Rhinolophus ferrumequinum: one gene and its partners. The protein of the gene in region 4 interacts with the protein of the main gene of each other region in a biochemical or structural test. Links are inferred from orthologs where the notes say so. Each region holds a gene or a part of one and is shown on either strand. Other genes may lie near its edges.

Evidence for each region.
Region 1: the proteins of HDAC6 (region 4) and PRKCA form a complex in vitro, tested with the Homo sapiens proteins (2 studies listed by BioGRID, with this or other methods). The link is inferred for Rhinolophus ferrumequinum from reciprocal best matches to the Homo sapiens genes HDAC6 and PRKCA.
Region 2: the proteins of HDAC6 (region 4) and UBD form a complex in vitro, tested with the Homo sapiens proteins (2 studies listed by BioGRID, with this or other methods). The link is inferred for Rhinolophus ferrumequinum from reciprocal best matches to the Homo sapiens genes HDAC6 and UBD.
Region 3: of the proteins of HDAC6 (region 4) and TUBA1A, one has a biochemical effect on the other in vitro, tested with the Homo sapiens proteins (4 studies listed by BioGRID). The link is inferred for Rhinolophus ferrumequinum from reciprocal best matches to the Homo sapiens genes HDAC6 and TUBA1A.

Annotation. Positions count from the first base shown.
Region 1 is NC_046304.1:44,302,519-44,309,671, forward strand, and holds the start of PRKCA (protein kinase C alpha type), read right to left. Parts: upstream 3,016-7,153; 5' UTR 2,999-3,015; coding exon 2,826-2,998; intron 2,095-2,825; exon of another isoform or gene 1,932-2,094; intron 1-1,931. UniProt on the Homo sapiens protein: Calcium-activated, phospholipid- and diacylglycerol (DAG)-dependent serine/threonine-protein kinase that is involved in positive and negative regulation of cell proliferation, apoptosis, differentiation, migration and adhesion, tumorigenesis, cardiac hypertrophy, angiogenesis, platelet function and inflammation, by directly phosphorylating targets such as RAF1, BCL2, CSPG4, TNNT2/CTNT, or activating signaling cascade involving MAPK1/3 (ERK1/2) and RAP1GAP.
Region 2 is NC_046286.1:539,166-545,596, forward strand, and holds UBD (ubiquitin D), read right to left. Parts: upstream 2,610-6,431; 5' UTR 2,473-2,609; coding exon 2,455-2,472; intron 1,122-2,454; coding exon 651-1,121; 3' UTR 505-650; downstream 1-504. UniProt on the Homo sapiens protein: Ubiquitin-like protein modifier which can be covalently attached to target proteins and subsequently leads to their degradation by the 26S proteasome, in a NUB1-dependent manner.
Region 3 is NC_046293.1:50,213,375-50,220,973, reverse strand, and holds the start of TUBA1A (tubulin alpha-1A chain), read left to right. Parts: upstream 1-4,576; 5' UTR 4,577-4,716; coding exon 4,717-4,719; intron 4,720-6,751; coding exon 6,752-6,974; intron 6,975-7,115; coding exon 7,116-7,264; intron 7,265-7,447; coding exon 7,448-7,599. UniProt on the Homo sapiens protein: Tubulin is the major constituent of microtubules, a cylinder consisting of laterally associated linear protofilaments composed of alpha- and beta-tubulin heterodimers.
Region 4 is NC_046284.1:85,813,068-85,820,482, reverse strand, and holds the start of HDAC6 (histone deacetylase 6), read left to right. Parts: upstream 1-4,404; 5' UTR 4,405-4,526; intron 4,527-5,036; exon of another isoform or gene 5,037-5,081; intron 5,082-5,107; exon of another isoform or gene 5,108-5,366; intron 5,367-5,601; 5' UTR 5,602-5,631; coding exon 5,632-5,724; intron 5,725-5,808; coding exon 5,809-5,937; intron 5,938-6,071; coding exon 6,072-6,160; intron 6,161-7,415.

The DNA of each region.
Region 1 (7,153 bases), on a different chromosome or scaffold from region 4:
TTCAACTTTGAATGAAATCTACCCGGCCTCTAAAGGCTCACTGGACTACTTCAAAGTATCAAGGTTCTGTCTTACTTTTTACATTGTTATCAATACTTAAGTTTCAAGAACATAATTGTATATTCAAAGTAGTTGGCTACAATGTTCAAATAACATGAAGGACCTTATGGCAGTGGCTTAATTTGGTCTCTAAAGACCAATTGAAAATCGTTTTTTTTCTCCCTAAAGATAGCTAAAAAGTGGCTTTGTCATTTGTTACGAATTTGTTTAAAATATTATTTGTCTAGAAATTGCCAAACAGCACCACCCTTAACATTAAATTTTGGCCTAAAGGAGCCAGATTTTACAAAGTATCATTCCTGTTTGCATTTGAGATTATGATCTAATTTTTACTGAGAGCCAATAGCATTTGAAGCACATACAGAGGCTATTTTGTTCTTGTAAATTACTTTAGAGAATTTACTCTCTAAGCAGAGAAACTTGACATGGGCATTCAATTGCAAACACCGTTCCAACTACAGATGAACTGCGCTAATTTTTTTCAGAAGGTTATTAGCCATAATCTCTTGCATTACATAGCATTTTCAATTTACAAAGCACTTCATATATCTTCATAATTAACTTAGTCATCCCCTGTAAAAAAAATATTTAAAACCCAAACATTTTGGTTTCAAAATATCAGTGCTTTAATATTTAAATACAACTCATAAATCAAGAACCCAGAGAAACAATAATGAAACAAAAATGAAAACCACTACTAGACAAGCCTGGTGAATATTTGCCTGGAACTTCCAAGTGGGTGCTTTACAGTTCAGTGGAGAAAGGTTGCAGGGATTCCTCAGGAAGAAGACAGGGAGACCTTTCTTTTCCACCTCACCTTACACCTGGTGACCTGACATGCCACATCAGTTCACCAGGGGCTGATCCTTCAGGGCAGCTAGTAGTGGAAAGACATTAGCTAGCCTGGCCGTGTAAGCTGCCGTCCCTTTTCTAACTCACCTACTTGCTGCAAAAGTCATCAGCAGCCTCTTTCCTTTTAATGGAGTTTCACAGTTGGCATGGGAGGCTGAAGACCTCCCCTTAACTAAATGCAGTATCCTCTCCTTGCCCTGATGCTCCGAGAACTTTTTAAATAACCTTATCGACAATTATCCACTCCTATGTGCAGCACTGCTTCATAGGCTGGCTACATGGTAGAAATCATTCATAGAGGTGGCTGTGCTTTTCTTTCATAAAAGTGTACTTTTGAGAAAATTTCTAGAAAAGGAAAAAGTAAGCACCTTCTTAGCACCACGTTTGTGAGGCTCTCCCTTAGAGATGATTTTCCCCAAGTGTGATGGATTCAAATAAAACCGTCCATAAAAAAAAGCTAAGCACCTGATTACCACCACTTCTGTGGAATTCGCCCTTTGAGATGTTTCACACAGAGCCACCCATACTTCTCCCTAGGGTCCCAACAAGATACATATGCCACACAGCCAGCTGGTGGCAGGGTACCTCCTGTAGCACTGTCACCCTGGTGCAGCGCTCCATCCATCCCTAAGAGAGGTGAGAGCTAAGGAAATCTAACCACAGCTCTGACTTGGGGAGCTTTGGAACGCATCCATGAACAAGAGGTAGAAGAGGCAGCGTGGCCACCTGAAATTAAAACAATTATAGCTCCTCCTCAGACTGGAGCACCTTGAGTTCCCTTAGTTCCAGCTTTCTAAACATTTTGGGTTTTTTTTTTTTGTTTTTTTTTGTTTTTTTTTTTTGCGGGGAGAGGCACGGATCTTTTGAGAATCAGTTCATGAGCTGTAATTATCTCAGAAAAAAAAATGTCACCCAGTTTTACAGGGTCCAGAGCCCCCTGAAGCCCACCCATTTATCAATTCTCCCAGCCCCCGAAGCCCCCCGCCCCCAAATTAATAGCTGAGTTAATTAGAAATTACCTGAACACTGACACCTCCAGCCTTTACAGTATTTTTCTTAAATAAGGACTCTGTCCTCATCGACAGGGTTACAGGTCTAATCTCGTGTTGACAGGGTCTATTTTAAATTACTCCCTCTGTCCTTCTGCCATCCGCTAGCTCTGTTTTAATTCCCCCTCCCCCACTGCAAGCTTTCAACAGTTTGTTGCGTCTCCTCTTTGGGCTCACCCAGAAAAGTCAAAGTCTTTCCGTGCCCAGCAAGATACAAGCTACAGTACGCGGGGACCCAAGGTTCCAGGGGAGTCCACGCCCAATGGGAATCACAAAATACACCCCACCCCCACCCCCGAATGCGCTCAGCTTGACTCGCCAACAACTTGGACCGCGCGGCGAAACCGCCGCGGCTCCAGCAATTACTCCCAGGCTTGTTCTCCGGGAGACTCTGCCCTCTGGATTCTCCTTTTCACTTTCCCCGGTGCTCACACCCCAGCCACCGGCTGCCTCCGGTGTCTGCCCCGAGGGCGGGCGCGCCTGGGGAGACCCGGGCGCTGGACCGGCGAGGGGCTCAGTGTCACCACCGCGCGCGGCCAGCCTCCCTCCTGCGGCAGGGGGTGTGTGACCCGGCGGTGACTTCCCCGAGAGTCCTGCCCGCGTGTGACAGCGGCCCCGGGCGCGCGCCAGTCGTGCCGGGCGAGAGAGTTCGGACTCCCGCCGGCTCTCCAAGTTCCCCGAGTGAGTGAGCCCTGGAGTGGACCCGCCTGGACTCGGGGTGGGGGGAGCGCGGGTCCCCCCGGAGAGGACCCGGGCTCGGGAAGGGCTGGCCCCCGCGGCGGGCGCCGGGACAGGGGTCCCGAGTGGCGGCCCGCGCGCCCCGCCCCGCCCCGCCCCGCGCCGCGCCGCGCCGCGCGCACCTACCAGATGAAGTCGGTGCAGTGGCTGCAGAAGGTGGGCTGCTTGAAGAAGCGGGCGATGAATTTGTGGTCCTTCACCTCGTGCACGTTCTTCTGTCTCAGCGCCCCTTTGCGCGCGAAGCGGTTGGCCACGTCCTGAGACGCCGGGGAATCGTTAGCCGGGAAAACGTCAGCCATGGTCCCCCCCAACCACCTCTTGCCTTCGCCGGGGAGCAGCAGCCGGGGAGGGCCGGGTGGGGGAGCGGGCGGGGGAGGGGCGGTGGGGTCTCGGGCGACCCCCGGCGGGGGACGCGGGTCGGCAGCGGAGGTCACTGCGAGGAGGCGCGGCAGCGGCGACCGCCGGGGAGAGTCGGGCCGGAGCGGCGCGGAGCGGCAGCCGGAGCCGGTCACTCGCTCGCTGGCCCCACGCTCACTGACAGCCCGGCGCTCGCGCTTCCTACTCTCCGCCTCAGAGGCGGCCCGGAGCGGCGCCGCCCACTGCGCATGCCCGGCGCGCGGGAGCGCGCGGGCGGGGCGCGCGCGGGGCTGAGCGGCGGTGCGGGGGCGCGCGAGCTGGGGCCGCCGGAGCCTCGGCGTTTTCGCTGCAGCCCAGAAACGCGAGGAGGCGGCAGCGGCCTTGGGAGAGCCGGCCTGGATTTGGGAGCCGAGGCGGACGCCGGCAGGGGCGGGCCCGTTCTCCTCCGCCGCCTTTTTCTTTTCCTCCCTTTTCCTCCCCTTCCTCCGCCCGTCTCTCCTCCCTCCTCTTCTTCCGCTCCTCTCGCTCTACCCGCTCCTCTCCCCTCTTCCTCTTCCCACTCCCGTTCACTGTCTCCAGCTCGTCTTTTTCCTCCTCGCTCCTTTTGTTCTCCTCTAGGGGGGTCGGAGGTCTCTGTCGCCTGTGCGCGGCCGGGAGGAGCCTGGGGTCCCAGGATGGGGCTCCACGCCGCACCCACGGGGTGGACCCGCTCCGATGCTGCCCCTTCTCCATCCACCTCCCAGGACCCACCTGTGTGGCTCGGGCAGAATGCCCGGGTTTTATCCGCTTGTATCAATTTGAGTGGCTAAAACCACTCCGATTGCATGTACCCTAAAATGCCAGACCCCCAGCCCATTATACTGTTTATATGTGGATGGCAGGAGAAAGGGAGGGGTTTTAAATCACTGAACAGTGGCCCTTTCACCTGCCTCTAATTGTTGACCTATATTTTACCTGTGCTGTGTATAGCTATCAGATTTGCACGTAGGGATAAAAGACTTGTCCTAGTTATTTATCCTCTTACTTATTGTCTACCAGTTACAACGTTGATTGCCCAGCTTTCTTAATTTTACCAGTCCAGAACTTTAATTTAGAAATCGTTTGCATCCTAAGCTAATTACTGTAATACTGGCATGTGCAGAGTGCAGCCAGTACATCTGTAAATTACCAAGTAAAACTGCTTGTGAAAGATAGCTGGCACGGATATGCAAAGGACGCACTGGGGATGTACCAAGTAATCACTTGCTGAATATTTATTAGTTCTGCCTGGAGGATGCTAAAATACGTAAGGGAAACAACCGTCTCCCAGCATTTCATTATTGTTTTAGTTCATTGTCAGATTCACAAAACAACTTCATGAACTGAAGATACATCAAGAAAGAGAACATACCACCTCACCCCTGTCAGAATGGCTCATCAATAAATCAACATCAAGTATCCAGGAGGATGTGAAGAAAAGGAAAGCTCATGCACAGCTGATGGGATTGTAAGTTGGTGCAGCCACTGTGGAAAACGGTATGGGGGTTCCTCAAAAATTTAAAAATAGAGCTGCCATACGACCCAGGAATTTTCTTCTGGTATTTATCTGAAGAAAACAAAAACACTAATTTGAAAAGATGTATGCACCTCTATGGTCATGGCAGCATTGTTTACAATAGGCAAGATATGGAAGCAACCTAAGTGTCCATCAGAGGCTGAATGGATGAAGATGTGATATATACAGACACAGGAATATTACTCAGCAATAAAAAAGAATGAAACATTGTCATTCGTGACAACATGGATGGACCTAGAGGGTATTGTGCTAAGTGAAATAAGTCACAGAGACAAATATTGTATGATTTCACTTACATGTGGAATCTTTAAAAAAGAATAAACAAAACAAAAACATACCCATAGATACAGAAAATAGTGGTTGATGGTTGCCAAAGGGAGAGGGAAGGGTGAAAAATTAAAATGCCATTGACATTCATACTGAAAGAAAGGAGGAAAGAAAGAGAACATGTTTAACCTTCCAAGAAGTTAAAAAAAAAAAAAAAAAAAAGCTTTTCTACGATACATACTATCTTAGAGCATTTCACACAGGCCATGCGGGGTTACCATCTTTTAAGATTGCCTAACTGAATGCTTGGTGATAGGAATAGCTTTTATATTTTAGCAAGTGTAAGCTATTGACTGGCCATTAGTGGAGCATGCACTTTGCTGGCCCATTTACAATCTCTTGGGCCAATGTAGTGGTTACTTAAAGAGACTGCACATGTTTGATATTCTATCTGGTCAGAAATTTCACCACTCATGGCGGCCTCCTCCAGTTCAAGGAAGTGAAAAAGGAAGAGGCAAGAAAAGGAATGAAAAGCAGGGCATATGGGGGAAAAATAAATCAAATCTCCACAAAACTCCTTATGACTCTCAAGCCATGGCTGTTTATTGCTTTATAATCATAAATCAAATGGAGCACAGTAGAACAACACACACACATCTTTCCTCACAGCCAGAGGTTCTCACACGTTTTATGAAGACAAGTTTCTTTCTATTTCTCTGAAGCTTTGATGCAATGAGGGAGGGAAAATATGGGAGTTGAAGGGTGGGGTTGCTCTTAGTGGAATCCCTGAGTAAAGGAAGAGGGAAGATGAACTGTGAACCAGTGGGCCTTAGCAGCAGCCTGCCCGTCTCCTGTAAGGAGTGACTGATGGCAGCTGTGGGTACACCAGATAGAGACAATCTCTCTTTTTTTTTTTTCTCCCAGATTGTGGCTTTGCTTTCTTGCCTCAGTTAATCCTGTTGTTCTTTGTGGGTATGGAGAGAACTAACTGGAAGTTTGTTGATTGATAGCTGGACTGAGTTTGAGAGCTCAGTTGCCTACAGCTTGACTCAATTGTAGGGGTGAGGTGGGGACGCACCCCAAGCAGGAAATTGTCAATCAGTGTAACACTGCCCCTAGCAAAGACTGATGGGGATGTGAGCCACAATTGGCCCTTGCCACACACCTGAGAAGTCCCCACGGTAGCACTAACCTGGAAGGATCACAGAAAGGAAAACTACTGGGGAGGGAGTGGTCAGTTAGTCGTGGGCATTCAGTGATTATTTGAGATCTGCTGTTTCAGGGAGAACATGTAGGAAAGGACAGGGAATGGGAGACTGAACACAGACTTTGTAAGAACCTTCCTCTGTGACTGACTCCTGCCTTTGAGGGAGTAAGCTGGAGACTGGAGAGGTGGAGGGACCCAGAGGCTGGAGGCTGGGGTCAAAGTCAGGCCACTAAATTGATGATTCCAAACCAGAGTGGTTGAACTAAAACCAAGTCTTGACGGTAGAAGTAGGTCTGTTTTCAAGTGGACCAGTTCGTTTTCACATTGAGCAATAGAAGTTGCTTAAGTGTAGAAAAAGCTCGATTCTGAGATAGTTACCAAGATGATTTAATGCATTGAATTAAAGGATTTTTGCTCTATGCAATTCAATGTTGTTGAATTCAATGTTTAGGAAAGCTAAGATAACTGGAGCAATGCATGATTAATTAGGCAGTGTTTAGAATCAGGGTTAATGGCAGATCTCAAGAAGTGGATAGAGACAAAGTCTAGCTGGGAAGGGGCTGATGTTGAGCAAATTGGGGAGCAGGATAATATAGGGGTGGGTGAGTCAGAAGACCCAGTCAGAGGTTACCATCAGGAATGGTTGTACAGGTTGTGTCGACGTAAGAAACGTCCAAACCTGTTGAGAATTTTTATAAGAGTTTATTTGAGCCAAACTGATGACATATGCCAGGAAGCAAGAGCTCAAATTCTACGGAGAATAACAATTTTGCGCTTCTTTATGCGCTTGAAATTAAGGAGGGAACTAACATGGAGGTGGGAGAAAGCAAGGCGGAGATTGGGTTACAGGATATTAACCAGATTATGTGCTCTCTTGAGGGTTAAGACCCCCTTCCAGGGGTATTACTTCTGGCATTTTAAAGGTATGTTAACCTAGATGTGCAAGAACAACGGACAGAGCTGGCTTAAAACCTCTCACTAAAGAAGTTAGAGGCCTGGGGCAGGACTACCCACCATGACCTGCCCAGGTAGGAATTTATGATCAGATCACCCTGTGAAGTTGCTTTC
Region 2 (6,431 bases), on a different chromosome or scaffold from region 4:
AATGAGAACAATTTTCACTGGGTATGGGACAAGTAAGAGGGGGCACGGTGCCAGGTTTCATTTCATACCAACCAGCTTTAAATAAGGCGAGGGAAAGTAGTTTAATTGAATTTCTAAATTCTTTATTGACTAGATTGTAATCATGTAATTAATTCACTTCGTAGTAAACCGTTTCATTGTTCTCTATAAGGAGAAATTCAATTTGGTTCAACAATTACCATGTGATACGATAGATGAAGCACTGGTTTAAACATAGATGGAAACACAGAAATTAGTACAACGTGGATCCCAGCCTAAAACTTCCTATGTTGTCGGATGAGAAAGGAAATAGGAGTTTTTCTATATGTCAGAGGAAACCAAGGAAGGACTGAATTGCAAGCTGGCTTTGAATGCTATCTCTAATGTGCCTTAAATTTTTATTTTCTGTTTTCAGTAATATACACAATCCTGCCACTTAATCAATTATGTTAGAATCAAAGAATCATAGAGTTAAAAAGTATTCTGCAGTCTGACTCCCCACTCTAAATCTACTCTTTCTATATACCTCTTTCTCAATAATTTTGAGAAATCATCAAAGGTTGTGGTTGGTGAGTAAGAGCGAAAAGGAAATAAGCTCCTTTGCTCCAGAGATCACCCCATCCGCAGGGTGGTCACCCTCCAATGCAGTAGGGTGTCAAGAAGAGTAAATGGCCCGTTCTGATGTTATAATCTGCCATGATCTTCCCATCTTCCAGTCTCTTTCCATTGCAAGTCACAATCTGTTTCTCAGGGGTTATAGCAGTTTTGGTCTCAATCATCTTTTTCACCTCGGGCACTGAACTGGACCTTCGCACCTGGAGGAGGTGCCTCTGCCCCTCATCACCTGACTCCACCAGAAACAGGGGCAGCTCCTCATCACTGGGCCTCACCACCTTCAGGGTGAGGTGGATGGTGGTCTCCTTGTCAATGCCATAAGATGATAGCTTTCTCTGGGGCTTTAGGGTCTTCGAGCCCAGCTGGAGGACCTGGTCCTGCACAGGAACCTTGGTCTCAGACCGCACATGTTCCTGGATCTTCTTCACTCTGTCATGCAAGTTGGCAGTGAAGGTCATTGGTCCCCATTCCTGAGAATGGACATTCACCTGGACAATGAGGGCCAAGAGACAGTTACCAGGAATGCCTGCCCCGTTGTGTACCCCTTGTTCCCCCTCCTTAGTTTCTCCTGCACTTCACTGCCTGTCTGGTCCTCTGGCTGATTTTTAACAAGCTGTGTCCCTCCCTCTCTTGGAGCTTCTCTTTTTGAATTTCCAGGTTATAACACAGACAAGAAAGGCAGTCTTATTCCTTATAACCATACCTCTCATTCATCCCCAAAACATCATTAATAATTTCCCACCATATTTGCCTGCCTCCTACCTGGATAAACTTTGTCAAATGTCAAAAATTAAATACAACTACAGAGTACTCAAAGGTGTACGCCAGATTCTAAAAATAAATCCCAAAGATAATTTCCAAGATTTGGCACCTAAGGGGAAACTCGCGGGACTGCCCTCCATGTCCACGTCAGAAACAAACATGTTCTCTGTACTGTTTGTTTCTGTTTTAATGTCTCACTGCTTTATAATAATAACTTATTAGGTTGGTGCAAAAGTAATTGCCGTTTAAATTAAAAAAAAAAATTGCAAAAACCACAATTACTTTTGCACCAACCTAATACATAGTACAGTGACACTGTGTTCAATGTTACTTGTTCTTCTGTATTTCCCCTGTTTTTATATCTATCTATTGTAGAATACGATTTAGTCCTTTAATTAAAACAGGGCCTCACTCACAGAAGGTAAGGACTATATCTAAATTTTACTTCAGTAATCTGAAAAATGGAGAAGCTAACCCCTATGTTGTCACTTGAAAGCCTGGCAGGACCTCCCTCATGCTCCATTCAAACATATCTTCCCAATTTACATGTCACAGACATTTCTTCACTGGACTGTCACTCCTGCGCTAAGCATTGCCTTCATTCCAGGTTCTCTACATAGTGTTTATATTCTTATATAAGGTAATGTGTCAGGTCATTAACAACTCAGGATAAATGAGTTGTGTGAACGCCCCTTTTGGGAGGAGAAGGAAGTTCAAGTTTAAGTCATGAGCCCCTAAACAGGATGAGGAAAAAGGCTTAAGACAATATTTCCAGTTTCGAGTCTTGCCAGGCCTGTTGAGCACAAAGCGTACTCCCACTTCCTACCATTGATCCCTCACAACAGCCGGTCCAAGATCTGACCCAAAAGAGAACTCAGGAGCCAAATGACCAGCTTCTCTTCACAGAATGTTCCCTCACATTCTGTAGATATCAATGCCTATCTCATCCCCTCAAGAAGCCACCATGTCTCCCTGGGCACTCCCTCATCCATTCCTGAGACCCCCATCCCTTCGAGGTACTTTCTCTTTCCCTACCCCCATTGTCAAATCCCAACTTACACAGAGGGTCGAAGGCATCTCTGCACTGAAGGGAGCAGCAGGAACCAGAGACCAAGAAAACAGAGGATGAGGAGAACTGCGCCCGCTTATATACAAGGAGGCTGAGCTGGAAATCCCCTGCCTGTGTCTAGCTTCCTGTGCTCTTTGTTCTTGCATGGACTCATGGATTTTCTTTCACTTTCGCTGGAGTGAGTCAAAAAAACAAAACAAACTTTCTGATCAAGCGCTTCTCCTGTCAGCCAATCCATTTGCCCTCCTTCTTCCAAATATGGGATGGTCCTTCTCTGTTGAGAATTTTTCCCCGGTCAACAACCCACCACTTCCTGTCCTGGCTATGACTGACCAGCCTGCAGCCTTGGGCCTCAATGGCTTAAAGACCTTTGATGCTTGGTGGTCTTCTCCTACTGCTTTTAAGAGCCCTCATCAGTCAGGTTTTTTCCTGAGAGCAGGGCCGCCCAGGAGAGGACAGTCAGGGTTGATGTGGAGTGAGCAGCCTGTTCACACTATCCTGGCAGGATGTGTGAAGCATGACTTGAGAAAACATAGGATAAATAACCCTGGATCAGTCCCACTGACGGGAGCCACTTACTATATTACCTTGGGCAAGTCTGTCCACCATTTTAGATATTGGTTTTCTGGTTTATCAAATGAGATGAGTGGAAAGAATTCCTAAGTGTCTTCCAGCCTCACAAACCTTTGTTTATAAAACCTCCTTTACAAAGACCTTTCGATTCCCGGGTCTTGAGCTCTCTATCACTGTTCCTATCCTGTCCTGGGAACTGCAAACTGAATCCACCATGACTTGAGAACATTCCAAAGCCAACAATCAAAGGCTGACTCCCACTGTCCACACGCTAAAACAATCACACACTCACCCTCACACCACAGTGCCTCTGTTTGCCCAGCTTCACTCCCGGATACTCCTCACTACCGTGATCTCAGACATACCTACAGGTGCTGCTCACTCCCCAGCTCCTGAGATCTGGACGGGGACAAAGCAGTGCATGAGCTGTGCTTCTTCAGGGAATTCACTCAGTCACTCTTGATCCTCCTACTATTCCAGACTAATCACTTCCCTATCCCCAACTCTCAGGACATTGCCAAAAAACCCATTTAAAAAAGCACTTATTAAAAGTTCTCCAGATTTTTCAAAGTAAAAAGCCCGTAAAAATGCCAAGTTATCACCTTTGTTTGCTGCGTTTTCACTGAGGCCTTCACTCACGGATGGATCACAGATGATCCCGTATTATTCCAGGGGTTCCCATCTGGCAGAACTTGGATTCACAGAAGTGTCTACGTAAAGTAATGGGATCCAAGAGCATATTCCAATATTTCAAAAAGCCTATCCTGAACTATGTTCTTCTATGTGAAACTCTTATTAGATAATCAGTTAATCAAATTGGAAAAGCTGATTATTATTTGAACGCATTTTGTGGGGTTAGGCATGCTTCTTTAAACACACAGGATGAGTATGAAGGGGGAAGTGTGCTGTTGGAATAGGCAGGAAACCTTTGTTCCTTCTATTCTCCTTTCAGATACCTCTCCAGGTTCCTACTGTCCCGTGTTTAGAAACCAAGATTGGGACCTTTGGCTGCAGCACAGCAGAAAAGGACGGGTCTGCACCCACTGTCCAATAGGATTTGGGTATTCTGAAACATCACCAGTAACTAGGCAGAAAATGTCATATCAGGTTGAGGGTGATAAACCGGAAGCCCTGCAGCAGGAAAGGGATGGGGGATGGGCCTGGGAAAAGAGAAAGTAAAAGCTGTATGTGCCCTGACTTAAGTAAACTGCTTTCACATTTCAAATTTTATCTGCGCCCCTTACGCTCTCAGATCTTCACGTCATTTCTGGGAAAGAAGAAAGAGAGTAGATGGTTAAAGCTGTTTAGAATTAAATCACTCTCTTCTTGTACCTTTTCCTTGTTTTCCATTCTTGCCTCAGTAGCCTACACCATCTTGGGGCCAGTTCATTCTCAGGGGAAGCAGAGACCCTTAGCCAGAAGCTCCAGGAAGGAGAGCCCAGGAATGACATTTCCCAGTAATAGTATATGTCTGTTGATGCCCTCAGATCTATACTTACAGCCCAGATCTGAGCTGCAGAGCTGTACATCTAGGGGCTTCCATGCATGATTCCCTGAACTCCCTGCATACCCTTGAATATGCCAAGCTCTCTGCCACCAGGTCACTGAGCACACCTTTCCCTCCAACTCTGCCCCCAACTCCATGAAATTTATAAGAGTATGCAATGTAAGTAGCAGCTCTTCTGTCTTTTCATACTCTCTCTGGAAGCCTCTCGGAGCACTTTTCTCCAGCAATAGGATTATCTGCTTACTTGTCCTTTACCCCCATTAAAGAGTAGGAATCTTGAGGGTCAGGATTGTGTCTCCATTAACTTGTATCTTCAGCACTACTTGGACAAGCTGTCTGGCACTGTAAATAATAAATATTTACTAAATGAATGCATGAATAAGTAAGTGAATAAAAATGGAAACTGTTTAGTGAGTATTTATTATATTTCAGGAATTGCACAAGACATTATTAAATGGAAACTCATTAACTGTTCTAGCATTCTAATGAGGTAAATGTCAGTATCCTTATTGATTAGAAAGAAGCTAACTCACCCACAGTCGTTTTAGTAGTAGTTGCTAAGCGAACTAGTTGGGGGAAGGAATACAGAGAGCCAAAGGAAAGCAGAGGGTACGAGGGGCCTTAGGATGAATGAGAGCAAAGGGAGTTTCAGGGCCTATATGTACGCAGGTGTATCCCTGGGTGGCACACCCACACTGGACCAGCCTGTATATCCCTATTTGGCAGAGGTGAGCAAAGAGCCTGTGATTGCAGGGCCAGAGCCTGGAGGGAGGTCACAGCCTGCTGCAAACATAGATGAGAACTGCTCCCCCAGGACTGTGAGTGTTCAAAGTGCGAATGCCATGCAACTCCACGTGCAAATAGAGGAACCGCCCACTGGAGCTGGGGATTTCCAGCATAGAGTTACTCCAAGGGCAAGCCTGTGATCCCTCCAGGAAAAAATAATTCAGGGGATTCCCTACCCAGAGAGGACCTGGATTCTGAGAAACAGTGTCCTTTCAAGTAACAAAATAAAAAATCTGGACTCTGATCTTCCCTCTCCTCTCTCTCCTCCTTTCCTATGTGAAATTCCCTCCCAGCCCAAAGCCAGGGTGAGGAATGTCCAAGACATCTGGTGCCCCTTAACTGACCACAGGTAGGATTTCTTCTTGGAACCTGACCTCTTCCTTGCTTCTTACCACATTATCAATCTGTTTTCCCCTCTGGGTCGTGATAGGAAATTGTTTCAGAGGCAGAACTGAAAGATCTCTTTTCATTTGCCTTTTTATCAAATCCAGGAAACCAGCCAAGATCAAATATCACGCTATGGAGATATTGCCAGGTTATTAAACAAATGTCTCAGATAGCTACAAACCTCCCAACTCGGCCCTAGTGATAGGGTGCTATTGGACTAGTCACTGCCCCCAGTTGAGTCCTCCCTGGAGCAGAGGCCCCTTTCGCATCTCTCTAATAATGTCAATGAAAGAGTTTGTAAAATTACTATGAGATCTAGAATATTGCTTCAGCAATGCCAGCCAAACCCAATCAAAAAGTTACTGTGAATTCTCATTTATTGAAGGTTGGAAAGGAAAACAAACATAAAAACAATAAAACCTTGTCCACTCTCAAAGGACAATCTAAAATACCTATCCAGATTCAAAATGGACATGCCAAACTAAAGCAACTCAAATACCCTTTAGTAATGGGGAAACACATAACTGAATTGTAGAGTATCGTTAGCAGTAAAAATGGATGGATTATACCTACACGCAACAATATGGATCAATATACTAGCAACCTATTGAATGAAAAAAAACAAGACCAAGAAGACTACATAAAGTACGACACGCTTTATAAGTCTTCAACACATGCAAAACTACAGAGGGAAAGAGATACGCTACTTTCAAA
Region 3 (7,599 bases), on a different chromosome or scaffold from region 4:
AATTACTATGGTCTGACACCTTCTGCTTAGATTATTGCAATAACCTCCTTATTGGTCCCCTTATCACATGTCTCTTTCCCTATTCCACTTACCTGTCAGATTAATTTTATGAATATGCTGTTCCCTTCCCTTTTTCCTTTTTTTTCCTAAAATTATAAAGGCTTCACACTGTCTATTGACTCAAGCCCAAACCCCTTCAGACTGGAGTTCAAAATGCTTTAACTAGCTCCACTCTCCCCATAAAACACATTACTCATAATTCCTTTGTATGCCCAAGTCAATTTCTTTGCTAATATTATTTTCCCTATTTAAAGTACAATGGTATCAGATGATTATTTTTAATTCACTTTTCTTTCTCCTTTTTATTTTCATTTTCCTTTGTGGGAATATCTTTATGAACTCATGGGTTTATGTTGTTAAAAGTTTTATTATAAAAATTGCATAAATACAAAAATGCATAAAACACAACTTTACAGCATAACAAATAATTATTAAGTGAACATTCAGCTTTTATATCCCTTTGCCTCCCTTCTCCCTATCAAAATCAACTTGGGAAATTATCTGAATTTTAATGTAATTTAAAAAAATATGTCCTCTCGGAGATTTTTAAATAAATATAAGATTTACTTCTATTATGGAATTGAAGGAACCATATTAAGGATTTGGGATCTTCATCTTAAAACTAACAGGCAGCCATTAATCTGATTTATGCAGTAGAGTGACATAATCTATTACATTATATTATATATACAAGATCACTCTGGCTGTTGTGTGGAGACTGGACTGGGCAGGGGTAGAAGTGAATGTAGAGGAAATATAAGGGGACACTGAGTTTGTCCAGACAAGAGATGATGTACTTACTAGAGTAGAGGCAGTAGAAATGGAGAGAAAAGAATAAGATTTGAGACACATTTAGGAGGTAGACTTGACAGGACATAGTGACTGAGTCTATGGTGGTCAGAAAGGAAGGGGAGATGTCAAGAATAATTCTCATTTCGGATGTAAGAAACCAGGTGTATGCTGCTCCATTTACTGAGCAAAAGAACCTTGTAGGAGGTGCATGTTTGCACCTACTGAAGACAACTCGTTCAATTTGGGATACCTGTGAGAAATCCAGCCAGAGATTGAAAGTTTATGATATAATCTGGATCTAAGAAGAGATGTCAACAAGTCATTAGCATACAGAAAGGATCTGCAGCCTTCGGAATGAGTGCACTTACTATCCACTAGGAGTGGATGAAATCGCATAGAATCAAATGAGGAAAAGGTCTAGGACTGATCCTTGAGGAACTTCAACATGTGAGGATTAGGAGAGGAGAAAGAAACAGCAGAGACTGAGAAAAAAACAAAAAATGTAGAAAAGAAACCTAGAAAATGTAGAGTTTTTGAGGCCAAGGGAAGAAAGTGTCTCAAGAAATAGGTAATAGGGGGGTGGGAGGGAGGTAGACAAAGGTAAAGGGGATCAAATATATGGGGGTGAAAGGGGATTTGACTTTGGGTGGAAAACACAATGCAATATACAGATGATGTATTATACAAATGTACATTTGAAACATAATTATATTAACCAATGTACTCCAATAAATTCAGTAAAATTAAAAAAAAAATTTCCAAAGTGAAAAAAAGAGAGATAATAGTCAATTGTGACAAAGCTTTCACAGGTCAAAAAGAACTAAAAAGTATCCAGTGGATTTAGCAACAAACATGGAAGCCATTTGGTTTTAAAAATGGTAGGAGCAGAATCCAGACTGGAATGGATTTAGGGATAAATAGGAGGTGAAGAAGTAGGAAAAAAGTGTTAGACACCTCTCTTGTTTCCCACATAAGTTATGATCCTCCCTCATACACACACAAACACATGCATTCTCAAACCTATATACATGTACTTGTTTTATTTCTTTAATTAGATTGGAAGAGTGTGGTGGAAAGGAGACCATGTTACTACCTCTGAATTCTCATAGCATATAGAATGGTCCAGGGCTTACTGTGGACACTTAGTACATGCTTATTGTATTAAAAAAATGTAAAATACTTTATTAAATACTTTTAAATTACTAATCATGATAATAATGAAAATAATGAAATTAAACAGAGAAGCTGTTTAATTCAACAAACATGTATATAACCTCTACTGTATGCTAGGCACTTTGCCAGGGGCGAGGAGTCACATTTTCATGGAGAAGAGGCGTAGACACACAAATAAATAATTTAAATTTCACAATATTATGAAGGAAAAAATGTTTTATGCTAATCTTACTGTGTACGAGAATGAATCCATTAGTAGAATATTTATTCATGTACACTAATATAAGTTAAAGAAATTGGCAGTAAAAATGAGAAATGAACTAGTAAAAACATTTTTTTTTTGGCCTCCCATAATTTGCATACTATTAAATCAGATGAAGAACAAAAAGATTAGTTATTTTCCCTGCTCTCCCATTTATATATTTAAGATTATCAGTGCTCAAATAGTCTATTTCTGACCTAGATCTTATTGTTACTTATGCCCAAGGGGAGAAAAAAAATCCTCATTTACATAAGGAACAGAATGGCTCTGAGATAGAATTACAAAGAAGAATCAACTACATGAACCCTTCTCTCTTTGATTTAATTCTCAGTGTAAATGGCATAAGGAACTGAGGCTATTGGAGAAATGACATATTTCTTTTATACTGTAAAGAAAATAAAATTCAAGACTACCCTTCATTTCCAAAATGAGATTTGTACACTTTATCAAGGTCCAGCAGTGTCTGATTTATTTTATTATTAAAATTTTGAAAGAAGTATTTTCAATGAGCTACTTATTTAATCCTTACACTCCCCCATGGCATTTCATTCTTATTTTTGTTAAATGGACTTCTGGATTCAGAAAGAAGTATTCAAGTTATCCTTAATTTTCCTGTCTTTTTACTGAAATATACTTTTGTTTGCTAAAGAAAGATAAGATGATGTTGAAGATTATTTTTCCTATGAAATATGCAAGAAGTGAATCATTTGTGTATTGTTTTTTTTCCCCCGAGGGAAGACTCTACTGCAGGAAATTTGAACAAGTAAAGCAGAGCTGTGGATAGCCGGCTAGAAAAATCCACGGCCACCATTGTCACACCACAACCTGCAGCAGCTGTCTCAAGTCCATCCCTCCCACGCCCGGCTCTGCCTGTCAACCCAGCAGGAATGAATGCGCTCTGCGGAGCACTTCAAAAGGTGCTGCAGACCCTGAAAATCTGTCACTGAAAACCGAAGGGAAAATACAAATTTTCAACTTTGTGGCCATAACAAACCTTTTAATCTTTTAAAATTCATTAGCAACGTCAGGTGGTACCCAGTTCAGAGTCTTACTCTGCATAGCCCTTCCTTGTTGAAAATGGAGCCTTTCAAAGTAGCAAAAGAATGTTACTGCAATCCATTTCCTAGGGGGTGAAAGCAAAGCCTTTTTGTCCCAAGAGGCAATTGAGCAACCACCAGTCTCTAGTTGAATAGCCAGCGTGTGAGGCTGGCTGCAATTCCCACAGTTAGAAGCCTAATCTCGGAGGAGGAGATTTACCAAATTCAGATAAGAACTACATAAAAAAGAAATGCAGTTATTGAGCTGACATCACAGACTGGTCTGTGCGTGGAGGCAACATTCCAAAATAGTCTTCTTTTTACATTGTGCAGCTCTCCTCCTTTTTAATTTGGTGTCTCAGTTATTTTTTTCATTCCAGGAAAGAGAACAATGCAGAATATAACCGCATGCACAGGTAGTATTAGCTTCTGAACTCAATTCTTTCTCTTTATATTTTCTCAGTTCTATATCAGGAAAAAAATGATTCATTTTAAGGGAAAATACACTACACAAATTACTATTACATAGACTTCTGGTAAAGGAATATTTCTAGTAAAATTATTTACAGTATGTTAATTAGAGCGTAATTATTGCCACGTTAGAACTACTTGAGTGCTTCCATATTTAGTATGGTTATTCTTTCCATCTTCTGTTTTTGTTTGGCTATTTGGGAAGGGGTACAAAAGAAGATCTGAAAATAAAACTTGAACCTGAGAAACCATTTTGGATGACTCTACTATTAAACTTTTTAAAAACTAAAACAAACACATTTACCCAAGCCATTTGAAGCATCATTCCCGTCTTCTCTCCTACTTTATGTTTAAAGCAATTATCGATGTTGACTCCTCACGGAATGTGGTAGAGTTTAGCATACACTTTGAGGGAGAGACTGGAGCAATTTTCCATTAAATATTTCATCTGAACATAAATTCTGCGACTAAGAGTTGGGAAAAACCTTACATTGGTGATTTTAGTTGTAGTTTGATGATAAAATCATCCCAGCCTCTGTTCTCTTTCTTCCCTTTTGCACCCCCTCCTCAGCCCCACCCCATAATGGATGCTCCGCTGACTGTTTTCGCTCAGTCTCTTTGTCTGAAGGATGCAAACAGTCTATGGATGCTAGGGAAAAAGGGGTGGGGGAGAGATTACCTCATCCCATGTCGCTTGCACCAATCACCACTCTTCTGTCGTGGCTTCTCTGGGCAGATTGAGGGGTCTGGACCAACAGGAAAAGGCCCCAGCCCATCCCCATGGTGACCGAGTTGTATATAGGGAGCCGCATCCACCCATGTGCCGCAGGTTCTCTTACATCGACCGCCTAAGAGTCGCGCTGTAAGAAGCAACAACCTTTTCCTCCCAGCCATCCACCCGGCAGCCGCAAAGCAGCAACCATGGTAAGAAAGAATATGTTCTCTCTGGTTCTTTGTGGCCATTGGGTGGGGTCAGCCCCCCACGGTTTGCTTGGAAAATCTTAAGCTCTTTTCCTTTACAACTTCTTTAGGTCAGGGTAGGTCGCCTTACGCTTTGTTGGAGAGGTTAAGCTTTGTGTGCCCCAAATCCTTGAGCCTGGCCGCTGCCGCAGTGCAGGGTGCAAGCAAGAGCCCGGCAAAAATTGCGCCGAGGGCGCGGCAGAACCCTGGGGAAGAACAAAGGCGGCGTGGAGGCGGTTGTTATCCCGCGCCTTCAGAGGCGCAAGCAGCCCGTCTGTCGGTGACGAGAGGGTCGGGAGCAGGGAAAGGGGATCGCGGCGTCTCCTGCACACAGTGTGCGTGTGAATCGGAGGCTCTTTTCTTCCTCGCGCTGTTCCCCTGGGGCAGGGAGAGGAGGCGTCGCCCCAGAAGACCCGGGGTCTGTGGGTTTAGCTGGGAGGAGTGGGGAGAGGACGACGGCTGAGACAAAGCGGAGCCTTGGGTTAGTTTAAAAAAAAAGTTCCCTTGCCGGTTCGTTGGCATTTTAGAAAGATACCCGCGTATTAACGGGAAAAAAGTGGTTGGTTTCTGTTGGAGCCAGCGGCAGCCGGCGTCAGGGCGGCGCAGGGGCGGAGTTGTTTGTCTCTGGCTTCTCCGGCCTTGGAGCCATTGGGCGGGGTTCGCTCTCGCTAACTCTCTTCTGTCAGGAGGAGACTATTCAAGTCTTTCATCGTTGTAGAACTGTAGGCCTTACAAGGCTTTTCATTCACTGCTAAAACTTAGATGGAATGTTTTTTCTTGAGAAGCAAAATCACAATTCACTTGACAAGTCCTTTAAGGTCAGGACCGGGGCTACGCAGACCTGGCGGACTTGATTGGGTGTTTGTCTGTCTTGGCCACATGTTCAGTGAGAAAGACACTTTGTGAACCAGGGGACCCTAACGCGCAGGACCCAGGGAAACGCCCCGCCCCCCCACATATCAGTGAATAGACAATGGATAGACAATGCAAGTTGTAGCCATAAAGACCATAGAGTAGAAAATATCTATTGAATGTGATGAGTATGAACATTCTGTGGTGGGTAGAGAATCGAACGAATGAAAATACGTACTATTTTGTTTTAAATAAATATTTCATTATCCTTTCACTGGACTTTCTTGTTTATTTGGTAGCGTCTCATGTGATAGTTTGTTTTCAATTTAGGAACTGATGTTTTAAAGATACTCATAATTTTTCACTTTTCTACAGTGGAGAAAATTCTGGAGAAATTTTTAAAAAGTAATGAAATTAATGCAGACAAAGAAGAATTATACTCTGTGTCCAGCTGTCTTTTGTTCGAGCGAATTTCAGTAATTCATTTCAATTTAGGCGTATGGTTCCAGCCTGGCTCAGAGGAGGGAAACTGGCAGAATGGCACAATGAGATCATGTGGGTAGTTTCTGGAAATAGAGCTTGCTCTGTTAAATAATGTAGCAGACAGCACAGGCTAGCACCAGGCACAGCAAATACAGCAATGCAGCAGTGCAAGGAGTCAGCCCTTGCTTAGCTTCCAACCCCCTAGTACAGATGGGTTCTGCAGATAGACTGCAAAAGGGTGTGGCTTCTAGCCTCAGCTGCAATACAGATGTCCATATGGAAATACCCAGTCATATTTAGAAGAAATTCTCATCTGTATTTAAAGGGGAAGGAGGTAGTAATATTGATTCCAATTAATAATTGAATTAAACTTCATTCTACAGAATCTGTGTTTTGAATATTTTTAAATATGAAAAATCTTCTATTCAAGCATGGCCATGGGAACAATAGACTTGCACTCTGCGCTGTACCGTGCCACATTTTTCAGGCCACGCCCACCTGCAGCTTTTGTAGCAGGTGCTTTTCCTTATTGTGTTAGGGATATGACCTCAAATAAATTTGAAGAATACCTGTATATAACTAGAAACATTGATAGAAATCTACTGAAAATTCAAAATGATAACAACCTAATTTTACAATTTTTCTCTTTTCTTTCCCACAGCGTGAGTGCATCTCCATCCACGTTGGCCAGGCTGGTGTCCAGATCGGCAATGCCTGCTGGGAGCTCTACTGCCTGGAACATGGCATCCAGCCCGATGGCCAGATGCCAAGTGACAAGACCATTGGAGGAGGAGATGACTCCTTCAACACCTTCTTCAGTGAGACAGGCGCTGGCAAGCACGTGCCCAGGGCAGTGTTTGTAGACCTGGAACCCACGGTCATTGGTGAGTTGACCTCCGTAACCCAAGTGAGATCCCAGGGGTCTGGGACAGGATGTGTGTCCTGGGGGCTCTGTGGATGCCCTGGGGTTGGGCAGCTTGTGCGGGTTGTTAGTGATGGGTGGCCGCTTTGTTTCCCTTTTCCAGATGAAGTTCGCACTGGCACCTACCGCCAGCTCTTCCACCCCGAGCAGCTCATCACAGGCAAGGAAGATGCTGCCAATAACTACGCGCGGGGGCACTACACCATTGGCAAGGAGATCATTGACCTCGTCTTGGACCGGATTCGGAAGCTGGTGAGTACCAGTTTGAAATATACTTAAAATGGGGTGAGGTGATTCATTGCAAGTTTAGTGAAGAGACCAAACTATAGCATTCCTTCTTTGGTGCATGCCCAAATGTGAGATACACTGCTCACTGTATTAATTGAAAAGTATCCGATGTTGAAGAATTACATTTTCTTTTTACTTCCTTCACAGGCCGACCAGTGCACAGGTCTTCAGGGCTTCCTGGTTTTCCACAGCTTTGGTGGGGGAACTGGTTCTGGGTTCACCTCCCTGCTGATGGAACGTCTCTCTGTCGATTATGGCAAGAAATCCAAGCTGGAGTTCTCCATTTACCCAGCCCCCCA
Region 4 (7,415 bases):
TGACCGTGTCCCTCAGGGGCTGACACTGTGAGCAGCTCTGTGTACTCTTGTGTGTGGAGGTATCAACACACATCGCTTCAGTCGGTATACGTGAGGGACCCCCTTCCAAGGGACAGAAGACATACTCAGGACAGGAATGGAAGGCAGGGGATGGCTGGAATGGTAGCCAACAAAAAGGTCAGATGACCAGTCTGGGACCGTGGGGTTGTCCGTGGGCCTTCCTGTCACTCATCTCTTATCTCTCAAGGCCCAGCTCAGCCTGCAGCCCTGTGGGAAATGGTAGAAAAGGAGAGGGGGAGATTAGGGGGACCAAATAGCCTCTGGAGGGATATTTAGACCCCATAGGTGGGGGTGCTCCCCGCAGTGCCAACGCCCTTCCCAGCACACTTAGGTGAATTGCTCTCCCAAAACAGAATCTGTTCTCCCATTTAACAAACCCTCACATACCGTGTTTCCCCGAAAACAAGACCTAACCGGAAAATAAGCCCTAGCATGATTTTTCAGGATGACATCCCCTGAACATAAGCCCTAACGCGTCTTTTGGAGCAAAAATTAATATAAGACCCCGTCTTATTTTCGGGGAAACACGGTAGAAGCACGCACTGAGTCAGGTGCCCTTCTAAGCCAGACAGGTTAAATGGTCAACCGAGGCACAAAGCTGATGGCACGGGGCTGAGCCCGGCTCCGTGGCTCAGCCTCCTCTCTACCCCACAGTTGCTAACAGCAAGCAGCACCACTTACTGAGTGTTTACCGTGGGTCGGCAACGGTTGGGAGGCCTCCGCTGCTTTAGTTCATGAACACCTGAAAAAAATACTCCAAAAAAGTATGTATATTCGTACTCATTTTACTAACGAAAAAGTGAGGCTGAGTCCGGATGAGTAACCTGCCCTGACCACACTGAGTTTAACGAGTAGATTTCAGATGGTGCCACCCCAGCCCGCCCCCCACCCCCCGAGTCTTGCTCACACTTACTTGGGCTGCTTTTCTCTCTCTTTTTTAAACCACTCACTCCTCAATTCACTCAGCTCTGGATTTGCTTTTGGGCTGCTTCTCCCCGGCAGCCCCAGAGATGGGGATGGTGGGACCATATATCCTGAACATAGTCATGGGTAAGCAGCTGTCCTCGACACAACAGCACCCCTTAGCGAGTCGCCACACAAGCCCGCTGCAGAATCACAGTAGTCCACACTCATTACAGGGATTGTCTAGAACTGCCCTGGCCCTGTGAAAGCCTCCTGCCCGGCCGCCCCACAGATCCCTAGCTCTCTCACCCTGCAGGAGCCCCTCATCTGAAACAGAAAGAAACCCCTCTCAGAACCTGTGCTGGAAATGTGCCTGGCCCCACCTTGTTCAGGAACCCCAAGCCTCACCCCCTGTAAGAACTGCAGTCCTAGCCTGGTACAGGAACCTAGCTCTGGAACTCTAAGGAACCTTCTCTAATTATCAACAGGAAACCCATCCTGACCCTGGACAGGAGCACCAGTCCTCGTATTGTATAGGAGGAACCCCTGTCCTGCCATGGGAATCTCTGAACCCACACTGTAAGGAAGCCCCTGAACCACCTCTTTCACAAACGCCTATCCTGACCCTCTTTCTGAGCTGTGATCTCTCTCTAGGAATCCTACCTTGACCCTGGACAGGCCACCTCTGTCCTCACACTGTACTGGAGCCCTGCCCTCCAGGTAGCAGTTTACAAATACTTCGCTCACAATAAAATCTAGTTCTAACCCACGGACCTGACTCTCTCTGCAGAAATCTCCATCCCATCTGCAACCTCTTCAGGAACCGATTGAGTTCAGGAGCCCTTGCTTCCATTGTTGGCAATGACCCCCTGACGTCGCTCTGTACAACAATCCCTATCTTGCACCCCACCTTGTAGAGTCCACAGGAACCCATGATCCAGTCTTGAACCTACATGGAAAACCCTTTCCCGACCCTCTACTTTAAGCCCAGACCTCATTCTATACAGTTACCTACAGCTTCACGTAGCACAGAACCCCCTGCCCAGACACTGTACAGGGCTTCCCATCCTCACCCCGTAAGCTCCGTTGCCGTGACCTTCTACAGGAAGCCTTGCCTACAACTGTACTGGAAACTCGAACTGGATTCTACAGAAAACCTTTTCCTGACTTTCAATGGAAATCCTTAACTTGATTGGTTTACAGAAATCTCTGACCCGATCCTTCATAGGAACTCCCAACCTTACACTTTGGAAACACTCTCCTGAACCTGTTTGGGAAACCCTGACGTGACTCTCTCTGACAGCCCTTGCCCTGGCTTTGTTCTGGAAGCCCTACCTTCATCTTATGCAGGAACCACTGTCATGACTGTGGCTAGTGGCTACTGCATTAAGCAGCGTAGCTCTGTAGAGTCTACAGAATCCTGTAGCAGGCACCACCACAGGTTTATCAACCCTGTTCTCTTCCTAAGCTCACTCACTTTCCCAGCCTCCCTTATAGTTAGACGTGGACATGTGACAGTTCTGATCGATGAAGTGTGGGCAGAGTGACATACACTACTTCAAGGCCTGGCCCATAAAAACCTCTCATGGAATCCTCCTCCTTTCCCTGTCTACCAGCTGAATAGTAAAAACTCCGAGGGCTCAGAGGAGGGCAGAGCCACAAAACAGAAGTTGCCTGGGTCCATTAATGACCAATAGTAAATATTTACGTTGGATTTTGTATGAGCAAGAAATAAACATTTGCTAAGCTCCTGAGATTCTGGGTTTGTTATAGCAGCTAGCCTAATTTAGTTCAATTAATAAGAATCTCGGCTGAATCTGGACACAAACACCTGATCCTACTGTCCACGAGTATATGAATGCAGCTCTGAACCTGTACAGAAACACCTGTGCTGACTCTGAAGCTGGATCACCTGATCTCTTTGTAGGAATAATGCAGTCTAAGGAGCCCCATCCTGAACTTGTATGGGAACCCCTAGTCTTGAGCTCTCTAGAAACAACTGTCTTGTCCTATATATAAACCCCTGCTTGGTTCAGTGGAGGCACACTAAGGAAACTATAGAAATCCCTGTCCAGAAACATTTGCTTGACCCAGTAGAAGAACACCAGAAGTGACCGGACCTTGTCCATGAATCCCTCTCCTTACACCTCACATGAAAGGAATACCTCTCCTCAGGAAGCATGGAACCTCTGCACTTATCCTGTAAAAGGATCCCAGTCAGATAAAGGAAGCCAAAGACTGACAGTCTACTGCAGGGACCCATAAATTATGGCATTCAGGACAAAGCCAGATTGCAGCCCGTTTTTACATTTTTTTAAGAGAAAGAACGGAAAGAAAGGAGAAAAGAAAGAAGAATTTACCAGAGGCCGTACATGGCCTGCAAAGCCTAAAATATTACTATCTGGTCCTGCGTCGAAAAAGTTTGATGACTTCTGCTCCACAGAAACCTCTCTTCTGACTATACAGAAAAATGGGCCTTGACACTTACAAGACTCCCTACTCTATTACTTTGTAGGCATCACAACCCCAGAATATTCCTCAGTGTGTATCATTGTATGTGTTTTCTTTGGTGTATGAGGAGGTTTAAAGGTCTTAGGGCCGTGACCCTCTTCCACCAGGACAAAAGACATATTCAGGCAGAAAGAGTGGAAGGGAAGGGAAGGCTGGAACTGGTGTTTTCAAGAGGGTCAGAGGGCCCAGCTAGTGGGTGGTGGGGCTGTCAATCTGTTTGTTAGTCAGCGATGCTGAACCCCAGACCGCTTATCTCTCGGGCCCCAGCCTACAGCCCCGGTAGGAAATGGTGAAGAATGAGAAAGGGAGATTAGGGAGACAAACCGGCCTCCTGCGGGGCTATTTAGACCTGGGGTGGGAGGGAGTTGGCGGGGGGCCGCAAGGGGGCAACTACCCTTCCTCCCAGGCACACACTTTCCATTACAACTTGGGAGCGAAGGTTACTCGGTGGAGGAGACTGACAGGGAAAGCTGCCGCCCAAGAAAAACTCCCCTCCCTGAGTCCCTTCTGTCCCTAGGCACTATTTTATCACAATTTTCCAGATGAGGAAACTGAAGCACAGAGATGTTTAGTAACTTGCCCGAGGTCACATGGCTAAGTCGCATAACCTCAGTTTCCTTATCTGCAAAACAGCCTTAATAATGGGAACTACCTCACAGAATTGTGGCTTACAGCAATGCCTGACACACAATACTTGTTATCATTATCATTTAATACTTGCCCCTACTAAGACTCCTTTCGCCCACCATCCATTTTCACGGCAAGACATTAATAGCTAACACTTGGTAAGTGCGGCCTGTGTACCACCTTCGTGAACATTAACTTAGAAAACCCTCGCTACATTTAGCATCATCACCAATCCCATTTGGCCGCCAGCAGCCTTCCTCCAGTTTCAACCCAGCTCCAGCCCGCCCGCGCCACGTCATCACAGCGCGCCGCGCGGGAAGCTGCAGGGAGGAGGGAAGACGCCCTTTCCCAACTCCCTCGCTTGCTCGCTTGCTCTCTTTAGTCATCGCACGGCACAGTAGCCCCAGATCCGGAGGGCTCCTAAGGTGACTGGACAGGGATTGAGTGACGGCGACCAGGAAAGCCAGGGAGACCGCGGCAAGGGTTGGGGGAGGGGCGAGCTTGGGTTTGAGCGCCGCGTCGAACCGCCGCAGCGCGCTTCGCGCAGGCGCAGCAAGGCCCGCGTCGCGGGCGGACGCGCAAACCCGCGGTTTGTGCGCTCGCGGGAGGTGTGGCCCGCACGAGGGGCGCGGTCCTGCGGCCCGATCCTGGTGTGGGCGGGACCTGGGCGGGCAGTAGAGAGACTTGGCCCAAAGGAAAAGCTGGCCTCCGGCTCCCACAGTCCCACAGGTCGTCGGGAATTGGGCGGTCCTAGCCGTGGGCGGAGTTTGAGAAAAGGGCTGTGCCCAGTGAATGGAGCCGAAGGGATTGGTTGGCGTCAACGGGGGGGGTTGGCGGGAGGCGGCTCCAAACTCGCTGAAGGGGCTTGGGGAAGCGACGGGGGTAGGGTTTGGCGGGGGGTGGGGCCTGGTAGAAGGAAAGGGGCCGTCCCCAGAGGGACAGGGCCTGTTGTAACAGTAGGGGCGGGATCTGGCCAAGTGGTAGGTGCCGGTGCGGCCCGATAAGGGGTGGAGTTAAGTGGTTCGTTAAGGGTGGAGTTGGGGCCGGGGTCGGTCTTGGGTCTGGGTCTGGCTGAGTGAAAGGGTGGGTGATTATCCCGGGCGATTGGATGGAACGGGCGTCTATGAAGAGGCGAGGTCTGGGCGAAGCTGAGAAGAATGAAAGGATCTGGGAATGGGGCTTGGTAGAGCGGAAGGGTTGTGATTTGCTGGAAAGAGCAGGCCCTAGAGTGGACTGAGCCTGGGGGTTAATTGCTCTTTGAAAGGGTAAGACTTTGAAAGGGGAAAGAATACAGTTAAAGGGGTGGAGTCTAGTGGAATGGGCGGGACCAGGTGAATTAGACACCCGAGTGGAGGGAGAGAGCCTTGAGAGAGGCGGAGTTTAGAAGGCAGTGGGGAGTAGGATAGCGGGAGAGATGGAGACTAGTATAGGGGGCGGGGCCTGAGAAGGGGCTGGGATGTGGGGTCCTCAGGGCACCCCAGCCCTTTCTGCACCCCTCAGAACCGCGTCAGGGGTGAAATCTCCCCGACCATGACCTCCACCGGTCAGGATTCCACCACAACCAGGCAGCGAAGGAGTAGGCACAACCCCCACTCGCCCCCCCACGACTCCAGCGTCACCTCGGTGAGGCCCCAGACCCGTCCTGATGAGGGGGAGGGGGAGCAGCCGGCCATGCAGTGGACTCTGACCCTTCTTTCTGTTTGGCAGAAGCGAGGTGCTAAGAAGGGTGCCGTACTCCGCTCCAGCCCCAAACTAGCGGAGGTTAAGAAGAAAGGCAGAATGAAGAAGCTCAGCCAAGAAACAGGGCAAGACCTAATCGTGGGCCTGCAAGGGCTGGTGAGAGTGGCCTGGCCACAATTTAGCCTCCTGTGACAATCAAAATCCTGAGGTTGTCCATCCTGGACAATATGGGATGTTCTCTCTGACTCAGGCCCTAAATCGATCCGTGTCTCACATTTTTTTCCTTGCAGGATCTGAACCTTGAGGCCAAGACACTGTCTGGTACTGGCTTGGTGTTCGATGAGCAGCTAAATGAATTCCACTGCCTCTGGGATGACAGGTGAGGCTGACTCCTCTAGGCTGTCCCCGAACCACACAAATATGCAGACTTAGAGCTACTAGCAGGAACAAATCCTTTCTTACACTAGCCTAGAGACCAGAAGCAGACGATTTAGGGAGGTGGGGCTCAGGCTTGAAAGGGTTCTTTTCATTTAGCCAGCAAATATTTATTGAGCGCCTACTGTGTGCCCCGAGTTGGTGATACAAATGTGTCAAACAAGACAGACAGGGTCCCTCCTCAAGGAGCTGATAGGTGAGTAGAGCAGATCATTAAACACCCAGACGCAGTGTGAAATGTTTAATGAAGGAGGACTTAAGACCACGGGCTTCAAGAATGTTTGATAGGGACCCTAGAGTAGCATCCAGGGTTCCCAGAAGGCATCCTTGAAGAAGCGACGTTTGTGCTGAAACAGGAGAATTCCCCCTCCCATTCGCTCACAACGTGTTGTAATTCATCAGCAAATTCTTTTGGCTCTCTGCTCGAAATGTATTCAGTATCTGACCTTTCTCCTCACTGTCTGCACTGCTACCACCATCATCACTCATCGAGACTTGCAGAGGCCTCCTCACTGGTCCCCTGCTTCCACCTTCTCCCCTGCTGTGTTTTCCACACAGCAACCTACAAAAATACGTACGAGGTGATGTTCTCTTTCTTAAAATCTGTCAAGGACAGACCATTGCCTTCCAGGTGAAGTCCAAATTCTTCATCCCGGCCTCTTAGGTTCCACGTGATCTGGCTCCACATCACCTTGGTGACCTCATGAGCTCATCCTCCCCCCTCATTCGCTTTGCTTCACTTCACCCACACTGGTCCCCTTGCTATTCTTCCAACATGCCAGGCACTCCCTCGACTCGGGTCTTTCCCCTGTCCAGTCTCTCTTCCAGAGATCCGTTTCTACCTTCTCTCCTCCCAGTTAATATGCGTATCTCAAGGAGACTTTCTCAGAGAGAGCTTTGCCTGGTCTTTCCCCTCCCCCCACACCTGATCTTCACGCTCTTCCTAACCCATGCCACTGTTTGCTCATTACTATGTTCATGTGTTTACCGGTTGAGTATCGATGTCTCCTAACCCCGTGGAAGAGTCAGGATGTCAAAAGGCTTCATTATTGAATGTAGATCTACTGTCTCCTGAGGAGCTAGGGACGTGGCCCTGGTCAAAGCAAACAAAACCCCTGCCTTTGTGGAGACTACGTTTTCGAGGCGGGGAGACAGTCCACAAACAAAAAGTAAATGGTACAGTGTGTTAGAGAAGTGCT